4 linked regions of the Arabidopsis thaliana genome follow. The protein of the gene in region 1 purifies or fractionates together with the protein of each later gene. This does not show direct contact. Each region holds a gene or a part of one and is shown on either strand. Other genes may lie near its edges. The genes, in order: ECHIA, AT1G33670, AT1G30580 and AT1G33600.

What was found.
Region 2: the proteins of ECHIA (region 1) and AT1G33670 fractionate together in Arabidopsis thaliana (co-fractionation; one large-scale study listed by BioGRID). This does not show direct contact.
Region 3: the proteins of ECHIA (region 1) and AT1G30580 fractionate together in Arabidopsis thaliana (co-fractionation; one large-scale study listed by BioGRID). This does not show direct contact.
Region 4: the proteins of ECHIA (region 1) and AT1G33600 fractionate together in Arabidopsis thaliana (co-fractionation; one large-scale study listed by BioGRID). This does not show direct contact.

The regions. Positions count from the first base shown.
Region 1 is NC_003075.7:9,175,961-9,180,133, reverse strand, and holds ECHIA (enoyl-CoA hydratase/isomerase A), read left to right. Parts: upstream 1-1,994; 5' UTR 1,995-2,155; coding exon 2,156-2,565; intron 2,566-2,804; coding exon 2,805-3,087; intron 3,088-3,165; coding exon 3,166-3,270; 3' UTR 3,271-3,568; downstream 3,569-4,173. Other genes in the region: AT4G16215 (uncharacterized protein), read left to right, coding at 301-438, 558-642, 742-890; AT4G16200 (SWAP (Suppressor-of-White-APricot)/surp domain-containing protein), read right to left, coding at 3,569-3,893, 3,944-4,173. UniProt on the Arabidopsis thaliana protein: Straight-chain enoyl-CoA thioesters from C4 up to at least C16 are processed, although with decreasing catalytic rate.
Region 2 is NC_003070.9:12,200,279-12,203,914, forward strand, and holds AT1G33670 (Leucine-rich repeat (LRR) family protein), read left to right. Parts: upstream 1-1,684; coding exon 1,685-3,052; 3' UTR 3,053-3,130; downstream 3,131-3,636.
Region 3 is NC_003070.9:10,831,126-10,837,564, reverse strand, and holds AT1G30580 (GTP binding protein), read left to right. Parts: upstream 1-1,929; 5' UTR 1,930-2,110; coding exon 2,111-2,197; intron 2,198-2,530; coding exon 2,531-2,698; intron 2,699-2,801; coding exon 2,802-2,925; intron 2,926-3,252; coding exon 3,253-3,344; intron 3,345-3,505; coding exon 3,506-3,604; intron 3,605-3,703; coding exon 3,704-3,817; intron 3,818-4,135; coding exon 4,136-4,200; intron 4,201-4,359; coding exon 4,360-4,476; intron 4,477-4,583; coding exon 4,584-4,659; intron 4,660-4,853; coding exon 4,854-4,946; intron 4,947-5,266; coding exon 5,267-5,317; intron 5,318-5,513; coding exon 5,514-5,612; 3' UTR 5,613-5,892; downstream 5,893-6,439. Other genes in the region: AT1G30590 (RNA polymerase I specific transcription initiation factor RRN3 protein), read left to right, coding at 1-83, 193-276, 370-457, 645-758, 871-1,055, 1,325-1,589; HERK2 (hercules receptor kinase 2), read right to left, coding at 6,083-6,439. UniProt on the Arabidopsis thaliana protein: Hydrolyzes ATP, and can also hydrolyze GTP with lower efficiency. Has lower affinity for GTP. Exhibits GTPase activity.
Region 4 is NC_003070.9:12,178,818-12,185,072, forward strand, and holds AT1G33600 (Leucine-rich repeat (LRR) family protein), read left to right. Parts: upstream 1-1,958; coding exon 1,959-3,395; 3' UTR 3,396-3,405; exon of another isoform or gene 3,406-3,783; intron 3,784-5,382; exon of another isoform or gene 5,383-5,390; 3' UTR 5,391-5,711; downstream 5,712-6,255. Other genes in the region: AT1G33590 (Leucine-rich repeat (LRR) family protein), read left to right, coding at 1-404.

The sequences.
Region 1 (4,173 bases):
GTGACTTTTGCCGGCGGTGTGAGAGGGCTTCCCCCCTTTTCTTTTTCGTTGTCTTGTCTATTAGTTTAGAAATAAGGTCGACTCTTTGCTCCTTTCTCCGGAGGCTAAGGTGAAGCTCAACGACGACGGTGTGACGATGCGGAGGCAGTAGGTAGAGGAGAGAGCTCTCGGCTCGATCCTTATCCAGGAGACTGGTGGGGTTCGGAGCTGCTCCGAGCAGCTGTTTCGATCCCTGTATCCCCCAGGAGAACCAAGCCGACGGATGAACAGAGGCAGAGTCAGAGTCTTCCAGGCGTGGGGATGGAGCTGTGGTCGCCGGTGGCCGAGATAATCCGGAGATCTAGTGAACCGTCTCAATGTCTGGTCCAGTCCGGCGATGGAGCGAGGCAACAAGGCATGTGCGGCGAGATCGTTCCGGCAATGCACCGTTTAGGTGAGGTCTTACTAATCCGGGCTCCAATGTGTTATCCTTAATCGATTAGTAGCTTACGGTTGATTGGTTAGCTCGGGAAAAGCTCTAGCCTTGCTGGTTTGCCTTGTATCATTGGTCGGGTCAGTCGGATATATGGTCCGCTTTTGGTTTAGGACCGGAACAACGAAAGCCGGGGATATTGAGTCTTTCTGATGATGCGTCTCCGGGTGGTAATGCTATTGGGACATGGATTACATTCTGATCAATAGGGACTAATAGTATGGATTTACTTTGTACTTCAGACTAGGTTTTGGTCTCTTCCGTTTTAGTAGTTGTTCTCGTGTCGCTTAGAGTCTGTGTAGGTGGTCAAAGAGATGATAATATTCTGATTTGTGGAGTATTATCTATCTCATTGTGGTTTAAAAATGCAATGGTTCCTCGATCAGGTAGCGCTGGATCCGATAGTGTTTCAGCGTGATACTAGATCAAACCATTGCATTTGGGTCCAATTTGATAGAGGAGAATGTTATGTACCTTCAATTGGATGTAATCATTTGATAAATGAAAGTTGATGTTGAGCAAAAAAAAAAAAAAAAAAAAAGAAAAAAAATACAATACTATATGTTTGTTTGTAACATGTTAATAGATAGTAGTATTAAATAGAGTAGTAAACAACAAAAGAAGCAAGAGGTGGATTTTAAATTAACAAAACAACTTGTTATCAAGATAAGACTATACACATTAATTGTTTCATGATGATAATAGTAATTAATAGTCAATAAAACGTGTTATTAAATAATAGAAGCTCCCATGAAACATGCACTATCGGTTACTTGTAGAAGTAATACAAACCGTTGACGTGGTAGACGATTGTAATTCGTTATCTTTGACCTAACGTATAATGGTGATTAAAACTAATGCTTGATAAATTAACGGATAGTGGTGTTAGCTGGTATCCTCCAAAGGAGGTTGAACCCAATGTCTTTAGTTTGAACTTTTGCTATGAAAGGTCTCAACTTTTCTGATAATAGAACAAACGGGTTAAAAAGTTGACATCGGCAAAGTAAATTACTGATCTTGGTCCGACCTTCTTTTAAAAGATTAAACAAATAAATATTTGCAATTGTGAACATATTAATGGTGAAACGAATTACTTCTATAAAAATAATTGCATGATGAATGAAGCATCTTCTCTCCTTTTCATGGGGCAATGTTTCAAGGAGTTTCAGATCAAGGTTTTGTACCAAGTGGATGTGTCTTTCACTAGTTGAGATCAGATCATTGACGTTTTTAACTTACTCTAACTATTTTTAGTAATTGTATAGAGCTCAAACGTTTTGTGGTGAACCTTATACTTTAACAGAAGATTGTTTTTTAAAACACATTAACGAGTCTGTGCACACAAAAAAAAAAATAAAAAAAAATTAACGAGTCTATTATGCAAATGGTGCATAAAAGTTTTTTAACAAAACCATTTATTAACAGATGAACAGAAATCAGACCGGTTCGATCCGGTTTACTCATGGTTTGTGTTTGTACTTTCTCCACTTGCCGTTTTCATGTTTGAGAAACAAAATACGCAGCGTCTAAAATAGAAGCAAAAAACGGGACGTTGTTTACTAACAACGACAAAACAATGGCACACTTACCCAAGTTCTTCGTCATCTCTTCCTGATTGACTCTATTTAAAAACCCGATCGGAAAATTCGAAATCCGTTCAATTGTAATCGGAATCGTCGAAAAATGGATCAAACAGTATCGGAAAATCTCATTCAGGTGAAGAAAGAATCAGGCGGGATCGCCGTCATCACAATCAACCGTCCGAAATCTCTCAATTCACTCACGAGAGCGATGATGGTTGATCTCGCCAAGGCATTCAAGGATATGGACTCCGACGAATCGGTCCAGGTCGTGATTTTCACCGGATCAGGTCGATCTTTCTGCTCTGGCGTTGATTTGACTGCGGCGGAGTCTGTTTTCAAAGGAGACGTGAAGGATCCGGAAACCGACCCGGTTGTGCAGATGGAGCGGTTACGTAAACCGATCATCGGAGCTATTAACGGTTTTGCCATCACCGCCGGGTTTGAACTCGCCTTGGCCTGTGATATTTTGGTCGCTTCTAGAGGAGCTAAGTTCATGGATACTCACGCCAGGTTGATTTCTTCTCTTACGACGTCGTTTGCATAGTTATCAATAGCACTGGTATCTAGCAATTAGGTCAAATATAGTTGCAGATTTTAGCTTTGGATCATAGAAAATCATGTTGTTTCAAGCTCTACTCAATTCAACATCTTAAAATTCAATCTCATTTGTTTATGCTCTCAAAATTTTGTTGCCTTGAGATGAATGTTTTTGATGATATGAATGTGAATCCTCTGTTTTGTGTTTGAAGGTTTGGGATATTTCCTTCATGGGGTTTGTCTCAGAAGCTGTCGAGGATCATCGGAGCAAACAAAGCTCGAGAAGTTTCTTTAACATCGATGCCACTGACAGCAGACGTGGCTGGGAAGTTAGGGTTTGTAAACCATGTGGTTGAAGAAGGAGAAGCGTTAAAGAAAGCTAGAGAAATCGCAGAGGCTATAATCAAGAATGAACAAGGCATGGTTCTGAGGATTAAATCCGTTATCAATGATGGACTTAAGCTTGATCTTGGGCATGCTCTCACACTAGAAAAGGTTAAACATTCTGCCATTTTTAACTTGTTGATCAATTTGTGATTGTGAGAAAGTCTAAAACTGTTGTTGAAATCGTAGGAGCGAGCTCACGCGTATTACAGTGGGATGACGAAGGAACAGTTTAGAAAGATGCAGGAGTTTATAGCCGGACGTGGATCCAAGAAACCTTCTTCTAAGTTGTAGACAGTTTCTCTATGGATCTTAAAATAATACTTACTACTTTGTACCATTTCTTAATTTACATTTTGATTAGTGTCTTACAATAAGAATATCTTTGTTTGTTTCAAATCAAGTATGTAGTCTAAGATACGTATCTCTCAGCTTTAGACATATGTTGGTAAAATTTATGGAATTGATAACTGTATCAGGATTATAAGTCCAAAGCTTTAGAAACAAACAATATTAAGTGAATAAAATGCATGCTTGTTCTAGCCTGCACAAGCATTGTCCATCTCTCTGTCTCAGACCACGACGTGCAGTATTAGGATATCTCCTCCTCTGACATTGTAATGAGCAAGTGACCTATTACTGTATAAGCAGCACGACCCCTCAGCTTATCTTTCAAATATTTGGGTGGATTTAATACTTGCGAATACGCAACAACAAACTCGTTGTAAAAAGAGAACCTGTAATCAGTTGCCTTCATAAACTCAAACTGAGGTTCCGTCATCACTCTTTCCATCAGAAACCCTCTAAAATCATCCCCATACCATGCCACAAACTGCGCTGTGACCTTAACGGTGTCAAGTTCCTCGAATGTCATCTCTTTAACAAGTCTAAACTGTAAAAGATTAGGCAGGACCAATCTTTGAGACTGAAGACTGAATTGAGACTGAGGAGGAGGATAGGGCTCAACTTTGGTGTAGCTTCACGGTGATACTTAGAAATGGATTCAGCAAGCTTGTGCTGGTAATATGCGTCGCGAGGATCTAATGAGTACTCATCAAGCTTTTGCTTGTACAATACGTTATAAGGATCTTCAGAGCTTTTCAGGAAGTTAAATCTTGCATCATCTGTATTAGAGTCCTTAACCATCATCTCAAACTCCGACCCGAATTGAGAAACCAAACATGATGTTGTCTCAAC
Region 2 (3,636 bases), on another chromosome or scaffold:
CACATGTAACCAACGTTTTTCAATAACCTACATGATTGAATTGAAACTAGTACTAAACGAACACAAAATGAAGATCATCATCATCAGAATCATCACACTACTACGAAATTCACTGATTCTACTAAATTGCTAAGAGATTGATTACTATAAATGGATCAACAAAGAAACCCGAAGAAAGGGGTTTGTGATTCCTAACCTTATTTTGCTTAATCACAAGGATTTGTAATCAAGATTCAATTCCACAATTATGTTCTGAATAATCGGAAGAGAATTATGAAGTAAACGAAACAACCGATGAATCAAAAACAAACTTGAAATCGATCAGAATTGGGTTTATTATATACCTGATTGTTTGCGTAATATCGGAGGGTTTAAACCGAGTCAATCACACGCTCCTCTTGACGGCGGTGACAAGGATTTCCTCCCCAATTTCGTTTCTCATCCCCAGATTCATCACCGGCTGGAGCCGAAACAAGTTGATTCCGAAGAATTTGATAATTTGAATTGTAGAGACGAAGTATTTTTTGAGTCGGTGATGAAATGAATGGAACCAGAAAATTATATTTGTAGTGAGTGTTCTAAAGCTAGTTGATACGAAAATACTAAAATACCCCGTTTTATTCCGTTAGACCCATTTGGATTTGGATTTGAATTATAATTTTCCCCCTAATTTGAAAATTTTAGTCCGTTAAAACTTAAAACAAAAATTCAAATTACATATTACTTATGGTTGGATGTGCACTTTACTTAATTTGAGAATACTACCACGAGTGAGTTCATTAAGAAATTCTTAAGTATTACAACCCTTACCTTCATTCTAACGAGAACACAAAGCAATAACGAACACAATAACAATTAGATGATTCATTTTTTGGATCTAGAATATTTCTTAAAGTACAATGAATCCAAAAGCTTAATGTTCATAAGCCAACAAATAAATTTGAACAAAAATATAAACCAAAAATGAACCTATGGCGGGAGGAGCATTTCCTGTCGAAAACTAAGGTTAATCAGTAATATAATGATCAATCCTTTCTCTCTCTCAAACTAAGATTCAAAAAGCTCCAATGGAGTAACCTGAAAGACAAGAAGCGCATAAGAAAATTGGTTGAGGAAATGAATCATAAGAAGTAAATCGATTAGACAGACCATTATAGAGATTCTGCGACTATCTCTTAAACAAACCAACGTCTTAAATCTCTAAACTCACACTTAAACAATATGAAAACAACCTCTCCAATACTCTGATAACAAACCATGCCTCAAAATCGTGTTGCTTGTATTCTACGGAACAGGCATTATACTATTATAAGATCAAAATATATTGAACAAAATCTCGCAGCTTAATTTAATACTTAAAAAATCACAGGTCAATAAGATATACAAGAGGGATTACCAATATCACGCTTACCATTCCAATGACATGTGGTCAAGTCTTAAGATCGAGATTCACATTGATATCAGATCTCTTTATTTTGTTAATTAAGGTCTATATCATGGAGTATCTCTTTTACCGACAGAGAGTTGATTAAGCCTGTCATGGGAATATAAAATGATAATTGTCATGCTGTAATTACGGACACCACTAACTATGCAAGAAAAAACACGTTTGAAAATGAATAGAAATGAAATCAGACCTCGAGTCGACGACACTTCAGTCACTTCTCTCATTCAACAAAACACCATGAACTCTTGTTCCTTCCCTCTCTTCCTCTTTGTTATCTTTCTCCGGTGTTTAAGTTCCACGGGAGCTGCCACATGTCATCCTGATGACAAAGCGGGTCTTTTAGCTTTCAAATCGGGTATAACCCAAGATCCTTCGGGTATTCTCAGCTCATGGCAGAAAGATATTGACTGCTGCTCCTGGTACGGTATCTTTTGCCTCCCTACGATTCATGGCGACCGCGTCACCATGATGGCATTAGACGGAAATACGGATGTTGGTGAAACCTTTCTCTCCGGCACTATCTCACCGTTGCTCGCCAAACTCCATCACCTCAACGAGATTCGCCTCACCAATCTTCGAAAGATCACTGGATCTTTTCCCCACTTCCTCTTCAAATTACCAAAGCTAAGGACTGTTTACTTAGAGAATAACCGTCTCTCTGGTCCCCTTCCTGCCAACATCGGTGCACTAAGTAATTTGGAAATTTTGAGTGTGGCGGGAAACCGGTTCAGCGGTTCGATCCCAAGTTCGATGTCTAAGTTAACTAGCTTACTCCAACTCAAGCTCAACGGTAACCGCCTTTCTGGCATCTTCCCAGACATATTCAAATCCATGCGGCAACTTCGATTTCTTGATCTCTCCAGCAACAGATTCTCTGGAAACCTTCCTTCATCGATTGCATCTCTTGCACCGACTCTTTCTACCCTTGAGGTGGGCCATAACAAGCTATCGGGGACTATCCCGGACTATTTATCGAGATTCGAGCTTCTCTCCGCATTAAATCTCTCTAGGAATGGGTACACAGGGGTCGTGCCGATGAGTTTTGCCAATCTGACCAACATTATCTTTCTTGATCTCTCCCACAATCTGCTTACCGGTCCATTCCCTGTCTTGAACTCATTAGGCATCGAATATCTACATCTTTCGTACAACCGATTTCACCTTGAAACAATCCCCGAATGGGTGACCTTGTCGAAGTTCATCTACTCATTGAAGCTTGCAAAATGTGGGATCAAAATGAGCTTAGACCATTGGATGCCAGCAGACACCTCTTTCTACCATCACATTGATTTTTCGGAAAACGAGATCTCAGGGAGTCCAATAAGGTTTTTTAACCAGATGGATTTTATGGTGGAGTTCCATGCACCGGGGAACAAACTCCAGTTCGACTTGGGGAAGCTAAAGTTTGGAATCTTCTTGAAAACCCTGGATTTGTCAAGGAACTTGGTATTTGGGAAGGTACCGGTGACGGTGACCAGACTGCAGACACTAAACTTGAGTCAAAACCATCTTTGCGGAAAGCTTCCATCGACAAAGTTCCCGGCTAGTGCTTTTGTCGATAACAAGTGTCTTTGCGGCTTTCCACTTTCTCCTTGTAAAGCTTAGGGACAAGAAAAGCACAGTTTTGTATTTGGATTTATTATGACACGTAGCTCCAAATAAAATTTGTGTGACTATAATAAAGTGATTTAAAGATCCCAATGCCAATAAGCTCCATTACAACTATAGTGAATGTTAGTGAAAGTATGATTTCAACCCTTATGCACTATTTCCATGCAGTCGTTATGTTGGTACAAAATTGAGGATCTGAAGGCATTTGAAAGGTCACCAAACAGTCTCTCTGAGAAACATGAAGCGAAGAAATTCATATTTAGTCAATAGAACCACTGAGCCGGACAATGATTACCTCAACATGATACGAAATGATTAAATTTAATGAGTAGTAGTAGTATTCTAATACAAATGTTCCGATTTATGTAACGTTGGCTTGTATTAATGATGCATATGTTATGCTTGAGTGTTCTTATAAATTTGGTCGAACACTTGAAATGTAAACGGATCAGATCTTGTATTTAATTGTGCATGGGCTAAATTAAATACTTCTCTTTTACCTTTTTTGCCAATGAAAAGTTGAATAATAGTAAGGTCCGATAGGCCCATTAAAAAGCCCACAAACCCTTTAATCAGCT
Region 3 (6,439 bases), on another chromosome or scaffold:
CTAGATCCTGAAAATTGTGGTGTGAGATTTGCCAGTAAGCTGTTGGACATATATCTCTCCAGCAACACATGTCGACTTACTAGGCGAGTTTAATCTTGTCCTTCTTGGTAAAGATTTCTCTGCATGATATGAAGCTAATATTGTTCTAATCACCACTTGTGTATTCTTTTGTTTTCTCTTTATACTTAACAGGATGAGTGCAGTGGCTTATCTAGCTAGCTATTTGTCTCGTGGAAAGTTTTTGCCTGCTTCTTTTGTGGCTAGCATGTTGAAAAGGTACGTATTGCTAAAAAATGGAAAATGTAATTGTTTGATCTGATTTAAGTCTCGCTTTGTTGTAACATAGTTTCTCTTTTGCTGAAATCCTAGATTGGTGGACGAGTGTGCGGAATATTGCGGAACATGCAATGATGATGTGAAGCCAGAAGCACATCAAGTGTTCTATTCTGGATGTCAGGTATAGTCCAAGTTTAAGACCATCTTATGGCTTTTGATTCCTTAAGAACTCTTCTGTGAAATCATTGACGTCTCTAGTTATCAATCATTGTTAATGTTCACACCCTTACCAGAAGCTTATTGGCGTTTGGGATCATATGCTATTATGTCATGTATCGCTTAAAGTTGTTACTTTTCTATGACTGTAGGCAATCTTGTATGTGCTATGCTTCCGAATGAGATCCATAGTGGAGATTCCTCGCTTTCAATCGCAGTTTAGATCATTGGAGTCAATTTTATCTCACAAACTAAACCCACTACTGGTGGGTGACTTACACTAATCATTTTCTTCTCATAGCTCAACTGTTATTTTAAGTAGTCTTCACTCCAAGTATCAAATGCATTATGCTTGCACCATTCATTTTGTGTGAACAGGTGTGTCTTCCATCTGTAGTTTCCGAGTTCCTTAAACAAGCCAAAGCTGGTGGTCTGTTCATTGTCTCAGAATCCTTCATTTTCGATGACCTACACGAGTCTGAGCTCTCTCGTGCTTTTGGTGGCTTTGAAAGGCTTGACACATTCTTCCCGTTTGACCCGTGCTTGTTGAAAATGTCTAGCAGGTTTGCTATCTTTACTCTTGATTATTTTTTCTCTTCCAAAGTAAGGACAAATCAATGTGAGAATCTTACACAAGGTTCTTGACTCACTGGATGAATTTACCCGACCTGGGCATATTTGATACAAATTCTACTGCATACATCTTAATTACAGTCTTGAAATGACATTGAAAATTATTTTAATATGATAAAACAAGTGATGAATCAAAGTATTTGCATTGGATAGGCTTGAACTCTCTTTCTCACACGTGTTTTCTTGTCAATTCTTGAAGCTACATCTCCCCGAACTTCAACTTCTGGTCAATGGTGAAAACGACTTATGGAGAAGATGGTGACGAAGAGCTTTGTGATGAGGTCATAGTGAATGGAGATGCAGACAGTGCGGAGGAACCTGACGATGACGTTGAACTTGATAGTGAGATGAACACGATGTCTACAACTCCGAAACACTCTTTCATGCGAGAAACAGAGAGGCTCTTGAAGATGCCTTCAAGAATCAGACCATCCACTAGTCCTCCTGAATCCTTCTTAATCTAATAGTCATAGAGAGAGGGAATGCAATTTTGCAATGTAGGTTTCTTATTACAATCTCTTAGCTAGTGCGTAAACTCTAAAAAAAAGAAGTTGACATGAGTTTTGTGCGAGTCTGTGGTATTATCTGATCGCATGTGGTTTTGTAGCAAAATTTTGAAGAACATCTATGAAGTAAAATTTAGTCAGTTGGTTTATGATTACCTAATTTGAGTTTCGGTTTAATTTGGTTAAGTTGAAATGCTGAATGATTGATTTCTCGGTTTAGTGTTCAATATTGGGTTTACTTTGTCCACAAAATTGGTTAAAAATAGCTCTTTGTATTTTGGTAAATGTCCCGCAAATGGTTAAAAGTAAACCGGGAATTGACCCTCCGATTTAAACCGGTCCGTAAACCAGCTGAGCAATCTCTCTTTAACCTCGGCGTCGGCGTCTTGTAGCTTCTTCTGCTAGGCTTTGTTAATCAGCAAAAACCCTAGAATATCTTAGAGCTTCGCTTCACTTTCAAGCTCGAGACTTTGAGAAAGATGCCTCCGAAAGCCAAAGCTAAAGATGCAGGTCCCGTAGAGAGGCCTATTCTTGGCCGTTTCTCTTCTCACCTCAAGATCGGAATTGTAATTTTTCTCTTCATCTCTCTTTTAGAATCCAAGTTGATTAATTTCGAATGGTGAATGGTAGATTTGCTCATCGCAATACTTTCCTCGATAAAAGTTTTTTTTTTTTTTCTTCTTCTGAGTTTTGCCGGGAGAGATCTATTAACTCATCAGTGATGCATGATGATATTGTTTGTTTCGTTGTGTTTGTCACTGTACTCTTTTAGATGTTTAATCCATATTTAAGAAACTGCTTCTTTGATACAGTGATTAAGGTTGATTGTTCATGGTTGATATGATGATATGGAGAAGTATTGATGTTATTCACTATGGGAATTGTTTGTGGCATCGCAGGTTGGGTTACCAAATGTTGGAAAATCTACTCTTTTCAACACTCTTACAAAGCTTTCAATTCCAGCTGAGAATTTCCCCTTTTGTACCATTGAGCCTAATGAGGCACGTGTGAATATCCCCGATGAGAGGTTCGATTGGCTTTGCCAAACTTACAAGCCTAAGAGTGAGGTAAGTTTGTAACTTTATTTCATGACTTGCTGTTAAGGAAGAGATTACTACTATCTGAATTACTTTATGAATGGGCTGACTTCTGTCTGTTTTGATGCCTCAGATTCCAGCTTTCTTGGAAATTCATGACATTGCTGGGCTTGTTAGAGGAGCTCATGAAGGACAGGGTCTTGGAAACAACTTCTTGTCCCATATTCGTGCAGTTGATGGAATTTTCCATGTTTTACGTATGGTTTTTCCCTCTCGCTTTTTCTCCTAGTGCCAGCTTTGTTTTAGTGTGATGCGTGATTTGATGAATAATTTAGACTGTACTGCTACTTGTGCTGTCTTGAATTTCTACTTGAGCAGGCTTTTCAATGAGAGACAGGTTAAAAACCTTTATATATTTTTCTTCCCATTTGATACCTATAGGGCCATTGCGATAGTTAGTTTATGTTTTCCTCTCCAAGCATATCTGTTCTTGAACAACGGGGATGTTTCTTTAATAGTTGCTGATAGTAAGATATCTTGCCAGTTATATAGTGGTTAGTGACTTTTCGATTGAACATATGCAGGTGCTTTTGAAGATGCTGATATTATCCATGTCGACGATATCGTGGATCCTGTTAGAGATTTGGAGACCATTACTGAAGAGTTGCGGCTAAAGGTGAATCAAATCTCTAAACAGATATTTGACTGCTATATCTCCAAACTCGTGAAATCCTTTCTGTGTATATTAATACAGTAGTCTGTTTTTTGTATTAGTTGGATCTTCATTTCATCCATTGTTGTTTTGGTTTCAAACTGAATTCTTTGGTGCAACTTTAGGATATTGAATTTGTTGGAAAGAAGATTGATGATGTCGAGAAGAGCATGAAGAGGAGCAATGACAAGCAGCTGAAAATAGAACTTGAGCTCTTGCAAAAGGTATGCTATAATTTGACAACCATGCAGTCTTGTTCTGCAAATGTTATTGCTCATTAATTATTAATTGGCCGAAAAAATGACTGTACCTCTCTGGTTTAGGTAAAAGCTTGGCTAGAAGATGGTAAGGATGTCCGTTTTGGGGACTGGAAAACAGCTGATATCGAGATTTTGAACACTTTCCAATTGCTTTCTGCAAAGCCCGTTGTTTACTTGGTGAGTAGTCTTGAATGTTCATCTCTTTCTGTTACCATTGTTTCTATCAAGATAAATGCATTTGCTTCTTTCATATCTATAGTCGACAATTTTGTTCCCTCAATTTTTTTCGGGTCAGTTTGCAAAATGTAGGTCATACTGTCTATTTTTGTGACACTATTTGCCCCCAAATTTAACCATAGTGTGTTCCTTAGCTATTTCTGATCTCTATGCTTTCATGTTTGTTTCAACTATGTGTTTCATCTCAGTGTAAGAACTATTAAGGCATCTTGGTTGGACTTTTTGTGATCACTGGTTACTCTGAAATTTAAATTACAGATTAACCTGAATGAGAGAGACTATCAGAGGAAGAAAAACAAGTTCTTGCCAAAGATTCATGCCTGGTACTAATATATATCCTTTCACAAACTATGTTGAATAATAAGTAAAACATTTTGCCCCTTGGTTGTTGCAAAAGTTTCTAATATGGCTACGTGCTTACACATTTACTTACCTTATTATACTTCTCCTAAACTAAAAATATCTGTTTCATCATTATGTAGGGTTCAAGAACACGGTGGTGATACTATGATTCCTTTCAGTGGTGTGTTTGAAAGGAGTCTCGCTGATATGGCCCCAGATGAAGCAGCAAAGTATTGTGAGGAGAACAAACTGCAAAGGTTAGGAATAAAAGAACAGCACCTTGCGAATGAATAGTTGCTCCTGAAGATGATTTTTCTTTATGAATCTGTTAAATTGAATCTTATGGCCATTGCTGCTTTGACAGTGCTCTTCCGAGGATCATCAAAACTGGATTTTCAGCAATTAACCTCATATACTTCTTTACAGCAGGGCCTGATGAGGTATTAACAGTCCCACTTTACTTGGCTTCACTACACGCTTTAGTCTCTAGTTCTCTGTGAAATTCTTCTAAGCATAATTGTTCTGTAATGAGCTATTTGGTAGTGCATGATCAGTGTTATGTGTCAAGTAGTGCATTGTTACTGGAATTTGATGGTTTATAAAATACATCCATCAATGATACTTTGATTTGCAGGTGAAGTGCTGGCAAATAAGACGGCAGTCAAAGGCTCCTCAAGCTGCAGGGGCCATTCATACTGATTTTGAGAGAGGATTTATTTGTGCTGAGGTACCATTTTCTCATTTCTCTTGAATCTTGGTCAATTCACTAGTTTATTCCTACCTAAAATTTACATGCGTAAAGCCTTTCCCCTCCAGATTTTGATGATTTGTTCTGTTATAGAGTTTATATAATCTTTCTTATGTTTTCACTGACAAAAACAAATGCTTGCTTGCATATTCTTATATTCATCTTGGTGTTGATTTCCTAGTATCGATGCAGGCCTGTAGATATCAAAGCAGAATCCTAATGCAAACCATATCTAATCAAATATTTTTCTGTTTTGAAATTCAATGTGATTTATTCCAATGTTGTTGTTGATGTCACAGGTCATGAAATTCGAGGATCTCAAGGAACTTGGCAATGAACCTGCAGTCAAGGTATTTGTCTATAACTTCTTTTCCTTCTACAATCTCTTAAGGTCTCGGTGGAGTAAGTAGCCTCTAAAAACAGACATGAAAATGTTAAGGAAGCTCTCCACTGTGCAAGATATCCTCGTTGAAGAGGCATGATTATATTTATAATGTTCATGGCGATGACACTTGGTCTAATTTATAATCCCTTCAACTAATGCAGGCCGCAGGAAAATACAGACAGGAGGGTAAAACATATGTTGTTCAGGATGGAGATATCATTTTCTTCAAGTTCAATGTTTCCGGTGGTGGGAAGAAATGAGATCCATCCGTCTGTCCACCTATCCGCGGTGTCCTCTCTGGATCTTGAAGCTCTATCCATTTCCGAGAAAGGAACCAAGCTGTATTTTCCGTTTTTGAGTGGCTTTACCAAACAAGTATTTGTAACTCTTTACATTTTGCAGTTAGCTAAGACATGTCTTTGCCTTTAGACAGAGCATTAAGCCTGCTGTATCGTTTAGAACTCTTTCAATAAGTTTTTCTCTACTATTTGGAAAGAACCTTGAGTAATTGTGCGTGAGAATGAGTTGAAGAAACCCAGCAAACAACTTCTGGTGCACTTATTAGCGAAGGAAACAAATGGAAAGAATGATTAAACGAATACCTTAAGGAAATTATATTTGCAGTGTATATTACAAGCTCTATTACAAAAGAGCTTCTGGATAGATCACAATCAATTATAACAAAAGAACAAAAGAATTATTTTGGGACTGGCCAATCCAATTGCTTCCTCTAAGCCGAATTGTGAAGAGCAGATCCTGTTTGGCTCTGCTCAGTTTCTGAGGAATCTTGATTGGAACAAGCTGGAAGAGTAAAGCTCTCTGGTGCTTCTTCTACCGCTTGGCTGCTCGAAAACGAGTTTTCTCCATTCTGTTTGCGAAGCCAAGCTTCATGAATCTGCAAAACATACTCCAAGCTCCATAACACTTCTCCCATCATTGGCCTGTTCTTCCCTTCATCCGCTAAGCACTTCTCTGCTATCTCCCCATACTTCTCCAACGATTCAGGACTGTAGTTTCCCCTCAGATTTGAGTCGATGATGGACTCGAGGTTTCTCTGTTTTTGCCAGCTTAAAGCCCATTCCGCAAG
Region 4 (6,255 bases), on another chromosome or scaffold:
TCTTCTCGTTGAAGCTAGCAAAATGCGGGATCAAGATGAGCTTAGACGATTGGAAGCCAGCGCAAACATTCTACTATGATTTCATCGATCTGTCGGAAAACGAGATCACAGGGAGTCCAGCAAGGTTCTTGAACCAAACAGAGTATCTAGTGGAGTTCAAGGCAGCGGGTAACAAACTACGATTCGATATGGGGAAGCTAACGTTTGCAAAGACGCTGACAACTTTAGATATATCAAGGAACTTGGTATTTGGGAAGGTGCCGGCAATGGTGGCTGGACTAAAGACATTGAACGTGAGTCACAACCATCTTTGTGGAAAGCTTCCAGTAACAAAGTTCCCGGCCAGTGCGTTTGTGGGTAATGACTGTCTTTGCGGCTCTCCTCTTTCTCCTTGTAAAGCTTAAGCGGCAAGAAAGCTACAACTGGTAGTTGGATATTTACCGTGACCAATAAAGTTTAGCTCCAAATAAAATTTGTATTAAAAAGATTACAACAAATAAAGTAGTTTTATGTTATGAAGAAGCTTCATTCTAACAATATGTATTAGTGAAAGTACTCAAAGTAGTATTTAAGTTCTCAACTATTATGCATTTTTTATATAGCAGCTAAAATATTACTTTAACATGATAGAAAAATGATTTTAAAAAATAGAAGGAAAAACAGAGTAGTATTCTGATACAACATGCTCCAATTTATGTAACTTTTGCTTATATATTAAACTGATTATGTAGTATGCAACTCTTGGCTAATCTGTTCTCAATTCAGAATAGTCGCAACAAATGATGCAGTAAATAATCTATGTTTACTGGAATTTAACTCGCTCTATACAAAAAAAGAAAGAAAGTTATAGTGATATCTTATTTAGAACTATGCGTAATTTATTATTCTTCAGTGTTCTATAATTGGTTAACAAAAACCTAGTGATGAAAACAAGAGGAGTCCTTACTAGATAGATGCATATAACTTCATCACTACAAAATTTATTTGATCACAAATAACACATACCAAACAACAAACCAAGTAATCGATATATACTAGTATCAAACCTCTTTTTTCTCTTTACATACACATAACACAAGGTCATCCACAGGACATATAGCGTCTGCATTGAGGAATTAGACCATCTCTGAAGTAGGTTTCAACTTAGTATTGTTTTTTTTTTTGTCTAAAACACTAAAGTTCGATTAGACTAATGCATCCATATTCAATGAGACAAAGACATAGTAAACCAACCTAGAAAAATTATTCAAAAACTATACAAAAAAAGATAGTTTGAGTAATTGGTTCTTCCAAAACAAGACTAATGCATGCAGCATCTTAAAACTTCACCACCATAAACGAAAATTGAGTAATTGGTTCTTCCAAAACAAGCTAAGATTCCACTATAATTTCTTACGATAAACAAATAGATAAAGCTACTTATGTTAATGTTGGATTACGCTAAGAAAATTAAGGCATGAATCTATCGGCCCATCTCGAGGCCAACTTAGTCCACAATCTGGATCATTGTACTTAGATATATTTGACTTTTATTTTGTGGTCAATAATGTACATATTGTTAGACAAAAATAACATGTTAATAAATATTTTTTTTTTTTCAAAAATAACGTACATTTTGAGAAAACATAAATGAAATTTCTTTCCAAACTAAGTTTCATAATAGCCCAAAATATTATTTAAACATGATAGAAAACAATTGTAATTTGACAACAAAGTTCTAGAAAAATAAGATACATAAATCCTTTATCTATAATCATCAAAATATTATAAAAATCTGATGAAAGAAACTGTCTCTTTCGAGGGGTTGAGAGATAATAAATTCGACAACGATTACGGATATTACCACAACTTATTGCCACCACATGAACATGAATTGGTCAAAATCGGCAGCTCTTGATTCAACGTTTTCCTTCTATTAATAGCGACCAATTGTGTCTTTCAATCAACACAACTCAACCATGAACTCTTGTTGCTTCCCTCTCTTCATCTTTGCATTCGTTATCTTTCTCCGGTGTTTAAGTCCCATTGAAGCTGCCACGTGTCATCCTGATGACGAGGCGGGTCTTTTAGCTTTTAAATCGGGTATAACTCAAGATCCTACGGGTATTCTCAGCTCTTGGAAGAAAGGTACTGACTGCTGTTCATGGAAGGGTGTCGGTTGTCTCACCAACCGCGTCACCGGACTCACTATCAACGGACAATCTGATGTTACTGGAAGCTTTCTTTCTGGCACTATCTCGCCGTCATTGGCCAAACTCCAACACCTTGTTGGTATTTACTTCACCAATCTTCGAAACATCACTGGTTCTTTTCCTCAATTCCTTTTCCAATTACCAAATGTAAAACAAGTCTACTTCACGAATAGCCGTCTCTCCGGTCCTCTTCCAGCTAACATTGGTGCGCTAAGCGAGTTAGGAGAACTAAGTCTCGACGGAAACCTGTTTACTGGTCCGATCCCGAGTTCCATTTCCAATTTAACCCGGTTATATCTGCTCAATCTTGGAGATAATCTCTTAACCGGAACTATACCTTTAGGTCTTGCTAATCTCAAGATCTTGTTGTCACTCAACTTTGGCAACAATCGTCTCTCTGAAACCATACCGGATATTTTCAAATCCATGCAGAAGCTCCAATCTCTAACCCTCTCCCGCAACAAATTCTCTGGAAATCTTCCTCCGTCCATTGCATCACTCAAACCAATTCTCAATTACCTCGATCTAAGCCAGAATAATCTCTCTGGGACAATCCCGACCTTTTTATCAAACTTCAAGGTACTAGACTCATTGGATCTTTCTAGAAATAGGTTCTCTGGGGTTGTTCCGAAGAGTTTAGCCAATATGCCTAAACTTTTCCATCTCAATCTCTCCCACAATTTTCTAACTGGTCCACTCCCTGCCATGAAGAACGTTGATGGCCTTGCCACTCTAGATCTTTCATACAACCAATTTCACCTCAAAACGATACCGAAATGGGTGACCTCGTCGCCGTCCATGTACTCGTTGAAGCTGGTAAAATGCGGGATCAATATGAGCTTAGACAATTGGAAGCCAGTGAGACCCAATATTTACTTTTACATCGATCTGTCAGAAAACGAGATCTCAGGGAGTCTAACATGGTTCTTCAACCTAGCGCATAACCTATATGAGTTTCAAGCGTCAGGGAACAAACTTCGATTCGACATGGGGAAGCTGAATTTAAGTGAGAGACTAGAAAGCCTCGATCTATCAAGGAATTTGATATTTGGGAAGGTACCAATGACCGTGGCTAAACTGCAAAAATTGAACTTGAGTCATAACCATCTTTGTGGAAAGCTTCCAGTGACTAAATTCCCGGCCAGCGCGTTTGTCGGTAATGACTGTCTCTGCGGCTCTCCGCTTTCTCCTTGTAAAATTTAGCGGCAAAAAGGTACAATTTTGTAGTTGAGTACTGTAACACATAGCTCTGAATAAGATTTGTAATAACAAAATTAGCCTACTCGGCTACGCCATACATGGACATGATTTTTATTTTTTTTACTGGAATAGAAAATAACAAAATATTTAAGGGGAAAATCACATTTTAAACCTAACACTGAGCAGCACTTTAAACCTCAAGATATTTTCACTAGCATTATAAACCTCCAAATTAATTAAACTAACACTCTAGATCTCCAAATTAACATTTTTTGTTTGTACAGCCCTAAAAGATAACAGAACAGAACACTAACTAACAGAACATTAACAGAAGTTACAGAATAATGAACTTTTGTCAGTTAAAAGAAAAAGTAAAACATGTTTAGAAAAAATAATATTATGACCACTTACCATAATTTGTGATTTTTTTGTTTAAAAAAAACCTTATAATATTTAAGAAATTTGATAATACAGTACATAGCCATGTAAATATAAATCATGTTGATGTTTTAACAAATTATTGATCGGTTATTCTCAATTTCCAACATTAATTTGATTACTTTGTGGGCAGTCTAATCATTGGTGAGCTAAATATCTAAAATCTAGACAGACAAAATAATATCACATATAAACCAATAGTTTGATACATTCACTCTCGGTACCTACCCTACATCCAAGAAGTAATGAAGATCTTGGGAATAAATGTTCCATTAGAATCATGAAACTGGTGACTTTGTAGACAAGAAAACTAGAGTTATTTGTGTAATAATATGAAATATTAAAACTGTAGACACACTGAGATTTGCCTTATTATTCAAAGCTATAAAAACAAATGGATCTCGATGAACGCTACGGCATTCATAAGAGAGGTAGCATGCATCTTAAATGTCACTACCATAAACTGAAAACTGAACAAATCGATTTTCGAGAACAATCTAAATTTTCACTTTCTTAGTTCTTACAATAGGCAAATAGATAAAGCTACTAATGTTAGATTATGCTAAGAAAATAAAGCATAATGTTTACCTGACCATCTTGAGGCCAACTTATTTTCACTGTCTAGATCATTGCACTTAGATCGTTCTAAATCTAAACAGTCAAATCTTTCACTTCTAATTTAAGGTCAATAACGAACATTTTGTTGGACAGATTAAAATAACGTGTTGAAAAAAGTAAGACGAAAATAACGTACATAACTAGATTATAACCCGCGGTACACCGCGGAGACAATTTGTTTTTAAAATTAGTATATATAAGAGTCTGCAAATTATATTTATCTATAAAATATTTACATTTTATAGTTTACAATTGTTATTAAGTAATATCCTTCCAAACTCGTTCCACCAAACCCGTCCCGTTAAAAAAATCTGCGATACACCGCTAATTTAAATAAATATTTTACGGGATTGCAATTATATTTTAGTTTGTCAAACAAATTTTTTTTTTAAATGGTTGTCGAAATCTAGTTCAAATATTGGAGAAATAAGATTTAGTGAACTGATAGGAAATGTATTTAGGTGCGTTTTGCTCATTTTAAGGGATTGCAATTGTATTTTGGTTTGTCAAATATTTTTTGTTTTAAATAGTTTCCGAAATCTAGTTTAAATTTTGGAGAAATTTGCGTGATATATGGGATTATAATATATTTGGAATATTTTTTGTTTGTTAATCAATTTATTGCCAAAAGAAAACCAATAATTAAAAGGCAATGGCAGGTATTGTAAATAAGTTCGAACTCCAGGATTTATTTCACAAAATGGCTGCAAAAATGTATATATAGATGTTAGAGAAAAATCAAAATGGTTATTTTTCCTAACTAAATTCCATAATAAAAATAAAATTTTATTTAAATTTGATAGAAAGAAATACTAATAAGACAGTGGAAAAAAACTATATGACTTATGAGTTTTAATACAATGTAACAACAAAATTCTAGAAAAAGAAGATATGTTAAACCATTTATATAATAATCTGATGAAAGACACTGTCTCTTTCAAGGGATCCAGAGATGCTAAACTCAACAACGATCACGGATTATACCACCACGTAATGCCACCACATGCATATGACTTGGTCAAAATCGTCAGCGCTAGAGTCGATGACTTTCCTTCTATTAATAGCTACCACGAATGCTTCTCTCAATCAACAAAAACACACCATTAACTTAAGACATCAAGAAGCTCCACTACATGTAACAACGATAATCAATACGTATTATTGTATTAGTGAAAGTAGTATTTCAACCCTCCGACATTGTTTTCCATATACGCGAAATGTTACTACTAAAGTGAACGGCGAGGACTTCGGAAAAGATACTCGTATTTCCGTTTATGTATTTAACTTTTACAAAATTAACAGAAATTATCCAAATTTTCTACTTTTTTTTAAATACCCAAACTTTACAAAATACACATAACAGTTAGTCAAATTAATGAGTATAAGAATTAAATTTACTTACCTGGATTTTCTGATCCCGCGTGACCAGAATTTCTTGAACCGGTCCCTCGATCCAAAAATCCCGTCTGATTTTATCGGATATAATTAGTCAAGTCAGTCCATCGTCTGGATTAAGTCTGGACATAATAAGTGAACCGAAAGAATTGAACTGGAACCGAAGAAAAAAGAACCAAACTGAACTCAGACCAATTGTAAAATATTCAAATAGGTCCAAAATTCTAGAACCGAAAAAGATTATAATCAAACCCGAACCAAACCAAAATATTTTGGATACTCAAAAATATCCAATTATATATCCAAAATATTAGTTATTTTTAGATCGAATAACCAAACATATACAAAATACCAAAATATACTTGGAAAATATATTTACAAATATCAAAATATTTGAAAATACTAGAAAATA